Linked DNA regions of Ovis aries. The protein of the gene in region 1 interacts with the protein of each later gene in a biochemical or structural test. Links are inferred from orthologs where the notes say so. Each region holds a gene or a part of one and is shown in the gene's direction. Other genes may lie near its edges.

What was found.
Region 2: the proteins of GJD2 (region 1) and LNX2 form a complex in vitro, tested with the Homo sapiens proteins (2 studies listed by BioGRID and IntAct, with this or other methods). The link is inferred for Ovis aries from reciprocal best matches to the Homo sapiens genes GJD2 and LNX2.

What each region holds. Positions count from the first base shown.
Region 1 is NC_056060.1:28,434,793-28,439,300, reverse strand, and holds the start of GJD2 (gap junction delta-2 protein), read left to right. Parts: upstream 1-1,405; 5' UTR 1,406-1,689; coding exon 1,690-1,760; intron 1,761-2,785; coding exon 2,786-3,680; 3' UTR 3,681-4,508. UniProt on the Homo sapiens protein: One gap junction consists of a cluster of closely packed pairs of transmembrane channels, the connexons, through which materials of low MW diffuse from one cell to a neighboring cell.
Region 2 is NC_056063.1:32,654,494-32,658,305, forward strand, and holds part of LNX2 (ligand of Numb protein X 2), read left to right. Parts: intron 1-1,744; coding exon 1,745-1,971; intron 1,972-3,413; coding exon 3,414-3,613; intron 3,614-3,812.

The sequences.
Region 1 (4,508 bases):
TGTGGCCCCATGGATTGTAGCCCACCAGTCTCCTCTGTCTGTGAAATTCTCCAGGCAAGAAATACTGGAGAAGGTTGCCATTTCCTCCTCCCCAGAGACTGAACTCACATCTCCCGCAACTTCTGCATTGGCAGGCAAGGCAGATTCTTTACCCCTAAGCCACCTAGGAAGCCCCTCCTAATACTGACCCCTGAGCTAATTAGTATCAGTGTGATTGTCTTAATTTTCTAGCTGTAACCAATTAAGCAGTTGCTCCAGAGAGAACTGTCAGCAATATGTCAATTTAAAAACAGAAACCAGGAGCTGCTGGTTGACAGCATAGAAAGCCAAGGTTGGAAAACAAAAGTGATGGTGGAGTGAGATCGTGAGTGGCTCTTCTAGCTAGTTGAATACTGAGCTTCCTTATCATCCGATTAGCTCGCAGTTTACCCGAGAAGCACCCACTCCTCCAAATAAATAAGTAAAAGATAGATACAGAATAGCAGAGCGTCTGGGTTTGCGCTGGGGAAGCGAGTCCTTTAACCATGGCCATCCACTCGCTCAAACCAGGCACTTAGGTAGGGAGTCTTGTGCTCAAACCCCCCATCCTCAGAGACAGCTTCACTCCTACATTTAAGCTTCAGCCTAAATGAACACTCATCGAGCTTTCCTCATTCCTGTATCGGATTCACGATGGCACCGACCGCAGACTCACTCTTAAGCCACGGAGTCCTCTCTTATGAGAGACTGAAAAACGTGCTATTGTTGCCCCCGCTTTCCTTCCCCCAACCAGCATCTCCATTTAGAGAGGGAATTTCAGTTGCATCACCAAACACAGAAAGCAAAAGGTGAGGGATGCAGGGAGAGACGCTAAACTCCCTACTCACAGCCCTCCCCACTCACCCACGCGTCGGCTCCCGGCTCCCCCTCCTCCTGCCCCGGGCTGGCGGTCAGGTGAGGTTACCTGGGCGCCCCGAGAAGCCTCGAGGGGCGCAGCGATCCTTCCTCTCGAAGTCGCCCCAGTCCCCACCGGGCCCCAAGACTCTGGCCCCTTCTCCCCCTGCGCGCGTCCCCTGCCCCTCGGGCTCCGGCGCGCAGCGACAGCCGCACGCAGCGCTCGGCTCCCCTCCGCCGACCTGGCGTGACGCAGGCGGAGACTACTTAAGGCCGGATTAGAGGCGGCGGCCGCGGATTCCCGAGCCCTGCAACCGGCTCCGCGCGCTCCGCCCCGGCTTCGCAGGCGGCAGCGCGGGAGCGCCCGGTGCCCGCTGAAGTGCCAGGCGCGGGGATTGGTGCCCGGACCTTTCCTCGGCCCCTAACCCCGGGGAGTGAGTGGCGCTCAAACACCTCGCTCGGGCGGGCGAGAGCTCGCGGACCTGCACGCGGCCACCCCCGCTCCGCCCCGCCCCTCGCCCGGCCATCCCCCGGCTCCAGACCTGACCCCCGGACGGCGCCCGAGGTTCGTGCCCGCTCTCCGGACCGCGCCAGCTGCCCATCAGTTGGACGCGCTTGGGTTTCCTTCCCCATTTTCCCTGTTTTAAGTACAATAAAAGGGAGAGGGGGAATCTTGGATTTTTTAAAAATTTTGTTTGATTCTTTAATTGGGGGGCATTTCGCTCCCAGTCGGGAGGTGCGGCCCGGGGAGGGGCCCGAAGCGGGAACGTGCCCGGTGCTGCCCAGTCTTTGTCTGCTGCCTCCGGATGCACAGCGATGGGGGAATGGACCATCTTGGAGAGGCTGCTGGAAGCCGCGGTGCAGCAGCACTCCACTATGATCGGGAGGTAAGGGCGACGAGCCGGCCATCAGCGGGCCCCGTCGGGCGGCCCCCGGGAGTCCTTTCTAACGTCCAGACCGAGCCCCAGCAGCCCTCAGACCATCCTCTGTCTCCTTCCCATCATCCTTGGTCCACGCGCCTGTGTTCCCAGCATTGAGGGATTGCCTGACGCCCAGTGATGCCCCCCTCCTCAAGCTGCTCCTCATCAGGAATCCATCCCTTCCCTATGAAGCACCACCAGGGGATTCACTTTTCTTCCATTAGCAAAGGAGTTATTGGCTCAGTCGTGGTACCCCCACTCTCCGGAGTCAGAGCCAATCTTCATCCAGTTCCCTAAATAGAATCTACAAAGAAGGCAGGATTGTATTTGGACAGAGAAGGGCAAATGGGGAGATGGATTTGCTCTTCGGAGCAGATATATCTTTCCCCAACAAATATTTAGCAAGCTAAACTGATTTGCCTGTTAAAACCTACAGTGTCAGAAACCCACACACCCAGCTGACACATTTTGTCTCTGTATAAACTATATAGTATAAACTATATATATTCATGTATATATGTGTATATATAGTTATAACTATCTGTTTATGTAAAGCTTAAGTTCAGTATTCATATTGAGGATAAACTAAATATCCAGTTGGAGTACTTACATATACATAATCTGTGTGTAGACTTTGTATTTGCTGTATTCAGCTATTCCATGTGCATTTGCCATATCCAGAGGGAAGTTATATTTTGTGCCTCTCTACATTACATGTATACAAATGAAATTGATCTGTTGCAAACACACCATGTCCAGTGTATGGAAATGCACATGCTTAAGATCCCTGTAGTATGAAGTGTTCCCAGACTACCAACACCCAGCAGAAGGGGAAGAGACCAAAAAGGTTTGCTGAATTCCCAGTTCAGGACCACTCTGGATGGATAGCTCCCCAGTCAAGGACAGAACTGGGAACTGAGCAATAGGGCTTTTCTATTGAGTCAGTGACTCAACCCTTGAGAACCTCTCTCCCTCCCTTTTCCCCTGCTCAGGATCCTCTTGACTGTGGTGGTGATCTTCCGGATCCTCATTGTGGCCATTGTTGGGGAGACGGTATACGATGATGAGCAGACCATGTTTGTATGCAACACACTGCAGCCCGGCTGTAACCAGGCCTGCTATGACCGCGCCTTCCCCATCTCCCACATACGTTACTGGGTCTTCCAGATCATAATGGTGTGTACCCCCAGTCTCTGCTTCATCACTTACTCTGTGCACCAGTCTGCAAAGCAACGAGAACGCCGCTACTCTACTGTCTTCCTGGCTCTGGACAGAGATCCTCCTGAGTCCATGGGGGGTCCTGGAGGAACTGGGGGTGGGGGCAGTGGTGGTGGCAAACGAGAAGATAAGAAGTTGCAAAATGCCATTGTTAATGGAGTGCTGCAGAACACAGAGAACACGAGCAAGGAGACGGAGCCAGATTGTTTAGAGGTGAAGGAGCTGACCCCACACCCATCAGGGTTGCGCACTGCAGCTCGATCCAAGCTCCGAAGGCAGGAAGGCATCTCCCGCTTCTACATTATCCAAGTGGTATTCCGAAATGCCCTGGAGATTGGGTTTCTGGTGGGCCAATACTTTCTGTATGGCTTCAGTGTCCCGGGGTTGTATGAATGTGACCGCTACCCCTGTATCAAGGAGGTGGAATGTTATGTGTCCCGGCCTACTGAGAAGACTGTTTTTCTAGTGTTCATGTTTGCAGTGAGCGGCATCTGTGTTGTGCTCAACCTGGCTGAACTCAACCACCTGGGATGGCGCAAGATCAAGCTGGCTGTGCGAGGAGCCCAGGCCAAGAGGAAGTCAGTCTATGAGATCCGCAACAAGGACCTGCCCCGGGTCAGTGTTCCCAATTTTGGCAGGACTCAGTCCAGTGACTCTGCCTATGTGTGAAAGGGCAGGTTTTGGGAAGGCCTAGGGGATGACAAGTAGCCCCAAGGCAGATGACTGTGGAGGGTGGCTCTATCCGCCCTCATTTATGTGACTGTCATCATTGAGATATATTGAATGAGGCTGGTTAAGAGAAGATCTTGTATCAATAGGAGAGGAGGGAAAGTAGAATCGTTACCACATCACACCACTGGTTCCAGAGACACCTGGACAGAGTGATGAGATGGATAGTTGGACTCCTTTGGGCCCTTTTCTTCTGTGGTCCAGTTTGATCCTGATCATAGTGGACTTGAACAGCTACCAAGTAGGACTTAGCTCTGCTAAGCTCTGTATTCTGGTGAATGGCATGAGTCAACTATTTTACTGGTACAAAATTTGTGACCTATCTCAATATATCCCTTCATCCTGGGCTGCAGGACAAACATCCTTGAGGCATCCTTCATGTACCTCCCCCATCAGCATGCCCCTCTCTCTCAACCCAGGACAGCATGCCAGCTTTCTCCTCAATCTGGCCTTACAGTAGACCTAATATGGTTTATCTGCAAGCTAGAGGGAATTCTGTGGGGTGCTTTTCAGAGAATGGCCATGGCATAGGTTTGCACCACAGCCCCATCTGATTGGCCCTTAGTCATTATGAAAACCTTAGGAATGTCTCAGTATTTCCAGTTTTCTAACTCAAACTGCACTGGTGCTGTTTATTAGGGGCAGGGGTTGGGTGGGAGGGAGGGGATTCCAATATGCAACTATAACAGTCCTATGGGATGGTCGTTGCACTGTTAGGCATGCGGTTATGAGCTTTGGGATATTTCTGCCTTCCAGATTGTGGACTTT
Region 2 (3,812 bases), on another chromosome or scaffold:
ATATACCTGTTTCTTTACCTCTCTAGCAACTTTGTTTTGCTTTTTAAACTTGTTTTTCTGTATTTAATAACTATTTCTTAGCCTTTATGATTATTTACTTTGTAGGATTTTTTTAGTCATTTGTTAGGCTAATTCCCAGGTGTTCATATTGTTTGTATTTCCTCTTCAATTCCTGTTCCTAGTTCTTTTTTTTAGTCTGTGTAGATATTTGTGTATGATATATGTTTTGAGAACTAAATCTTTACCTATCTTAGTGATAAGTGTTTTTATGATTCAGTTTTTTTGTGTCAGTTTTTTATTGAGTAAAATATTTTAAAAGTGAATTTCAAATTAAATTCTAATTACTTCTCGACAGAAGTAATCTTTTCAGTGATCTAATTATCAAAAATATTCACCAGGCCCTTACAGAAACACTCCGTGGAGCACTGCCCCGCAGTGCAGCTCAGAACATCCATTGTGCCCCTTTTTAGGAAGGTGAAGGGAAAATGAGTCAGGAGAGAGTGCTGAAGAGAGACTTCATAAATACCTTCTCAAGACCTTGAAATCCAGGACCTAAAATAAATCTTCGGTTCATGTGGGAAATTGTATTACTCATACCCTTAGGGAATAGCTTCTAATTTTAATTGAATTCTATACTTTAATTGAATTTAATTCTATACTTAATTTGTTTGAAATTTTAGGTTTTTTAAGAATGCTGTCATTGAATGAAAGGCTGCAGTCCTGAACACAAGACTGTCGTCTACCCTGCCCCACCTTTTCTAAACTTCTCCCCCCAGCAGGAGAGTCGGTGGGGTCTGTGGAGTCGTGTCAGGGTCTGGGGCTGTGTGCCTGGCTCTCTCCTTCACAGATGCCCGACTCCTCCTGCTCACTCCTCAGACGGCATTCATTATACATCCTGTGTCTTGTCGAGGCGTCAGGTGGAAAAGAGCTGGCATCTTGCAGCATTTCCAGCGTGTGTATAAGAGTTTCTTTAAATGTTTAAACAAGCATGTATCTGCCTCCTTTGTTTGCCTAAATAAGTCAAAACAAGCCAGGTAACAGTTCTTATTTCTTGGTACTTATGGAAGTTTCCCCAGAACTTAGAAATACATTCTTTAAATTTCATAGCGTACCTGTAATTCCCCTGTTGCAGCTTTGCTTTTACAAACCAGGAGGTATGTTTTCACCTGCTTCCCTGTCTGTCATCAAGTAGGTAGTCTGAGCCTTGGCTGAGCTTCCTGCAGCTGGTGAAGCTTCATGTGGATCTCTGCTCCTAGCGGGTGAGGTGCAGTGTTGGTTGCAAGAGCAGAAAGGCCAGCAGTGCTCAGGGTCTGAGGCAGGGTGCTGGCGGCATGTGGAGAAAGGCGCTCAGGCGCTCGTTCCCACTACTGCAGTTCAGCTGTCTACCTGTGAAAAGGGGGATTAACTGGAGCCTCAGGACAACCCTCACAGGGCAGAGACTACTGTAGTGCTGTATACTGGGTATGTACTAATATATTCCTAAACACAGCTTCTTACTGAAGTATTCTTTGAGATATACCAAATCCTTGTTTGTACAGATGCCTTGTTTTAAATTTGCTGCATGGAGTGATAAGAACTTAGTTTCTGTGGAAATTAAGATCAGAATTATGTACTGCTTGCGGGTACTTCTAGGTGCTTTTTGCATAGAAGCCTTTGCTGTTGTTTAGTTGTGATACAAACTATTAGTCACCTTTTTTTTTTCCCTTTCACACTGTCTGGAAACCACCCCCTGTTGTCTTTCTAGATGCCCTGGAGCTTCTCATCGGAGAGCTGCCCTAGAGAAACGGAAAACTAGTAAGACTCAGATAGAGATCGAGAATGAAAATGGAACCACTGTCATAGACCTTCCAGCTGCTTTATCACCCGAAACGGACTGCTCAGGGCGGACCCTGACATCGGCATCCCTTCCGTCCTGGACAGAGGAGCCCGGCCTGGACAACCCTGCCTTTGAGGAGAGCCTGGCTGGGGACAGTACGTGCCGCCCCCGCCTCTGTTCTCCACCTTGTCTGAAATCAGGCGTTCCTTCCTTCCTTCCCACCTCTCCCCACTGCCCTCCCACATATGTTGTTTTCCTCTTTAAACAGTTAACATTGAGATATGGTTCACATACCACAGAAGTCACCCATTTAGGGGTACAGTTCTAACAGTTTGCAGCTTAGGAGCAGGACGTGGACCTTAGCCCGAGGAAGGGGACCTTTCCACTCCCTCTTATATTCAGTCCAAGATTCACTGGTTGTTAAACTGCTTCTTATTGTGTTTGTGTTCAAACATTTGCTTATCACTTCTTGACTAAGAAAACAATATCAAGAGCAACGAAAATAATGACCCCGATTAAGTGCCTCTTGTGTCAGGCTCCGTGCCAGACCCTCTCCATCCGCTAACTGACCCAAAACCTGTGTCAGTGCCGTGAGGAGGCTGTATCAGGGAGAGTCTTGAGAGTGCTCGGTCAGCATGTGCGGCCAGAGAAGGACTGGGTGTGTCCCTGACACCGAGGCCACTCCTCTGCTGCGATGCTCTGGTGGCCCCCTCGACTCCCGCCCGCTAGGAAAGCCTATAGTCGTAGCTCCTAGGCATAGCTTGGTGGTTGGCCCTGGGTATTTACTTTTAAATACTTAAATTAAATTACTTTTGAATATACTTTTCTTGAAGAAGTTCCTACAAATTCAGATTTTGCCCGCAATAGCCATAACCCATTTTTAAGACGCTCCCTTTCTCAGGGCCTATATGACTTCCCTCTTACCCCTGTGGTTACCACATACCAGAACTGTCTTTTCTTTATACTACTGTGCACTGTTGAGATTTGTTCCACCCTCCAGGGGCTTCCTTCATAGCTCAGTTGGTAAAGAATCTTCCTGCAATGCAGGAGACCCCGGTTCAGTTTCTGGGTCAGGAAGATCTGCTGGAGAAGGGATAGGCTACCCACTCCAGTATTCTTGGGCTCCCCTTGTGGCTCAGCTGGTAAAGAATCTGCCTGCAATGCGGGAGACCTGGGTTCGATCCCGGGGTTGGGAAGACTCCCTGGAGAAGGGAAAGGCAACCCACTCCAGTATTCTGGCCTATACAGTCCATGGGGTCGCAGAGTCGGACACAAGTGAGTGACTTTCACACATACCACCCTCCAGACTATCTCATCAGTTAGGATGAGGTGATGTTCTCTTAGTACAGTTTCCAGATCTCTGTGTCACCCCTCATGATCTGATACATAGTAGCTGGTTGCAATAATTTACTGATCACCTTTAGGAGAAGAAATGTTTAGATAATCTTAACACACAGATGTTGTTTGTCATTCTGTTTTCTTATCCAGTGGTATTGCATAGCTGTTAATGTAATATGACTTCTTTGCCTGAAGATAATCAACATATAAAATGTTGTTTCTCTTTCCATCTATTTTTCTCTCACTTTTAACTTGGCAGCCACACCACAACCACTTAGCTTACCAGAAGGTGAAATCACCACCATCGAAATCCACCGGTCTAATCCTTTTATTCGGCTAGGAATTAGTATTGTGGGTGGCAATGAAACGCCACTGATTAACATTGTCATCCAGGAAGTCTACCGCGATGGGGTGATCGCCAAAGACGGACGCCTCCTTGCTGGGGACCAGATTCTTCAGGTACTTGTTTTAATTCCTCTGTCAACTTGGCGCTTTCTCGTTCTTACTCATGAGATTAGAACAACATTGTGGTACTGTGGGACCTGAGTTGTATCTAAGTAAGTTTTGCTGCTTTTATATGCAAAGTGTGTCAGAATTTGTTAGCAATTTCTCCCCTTTCCCAAGAGCTGGCTTAGGACAGGTGGTGTTTTCTTAGCCT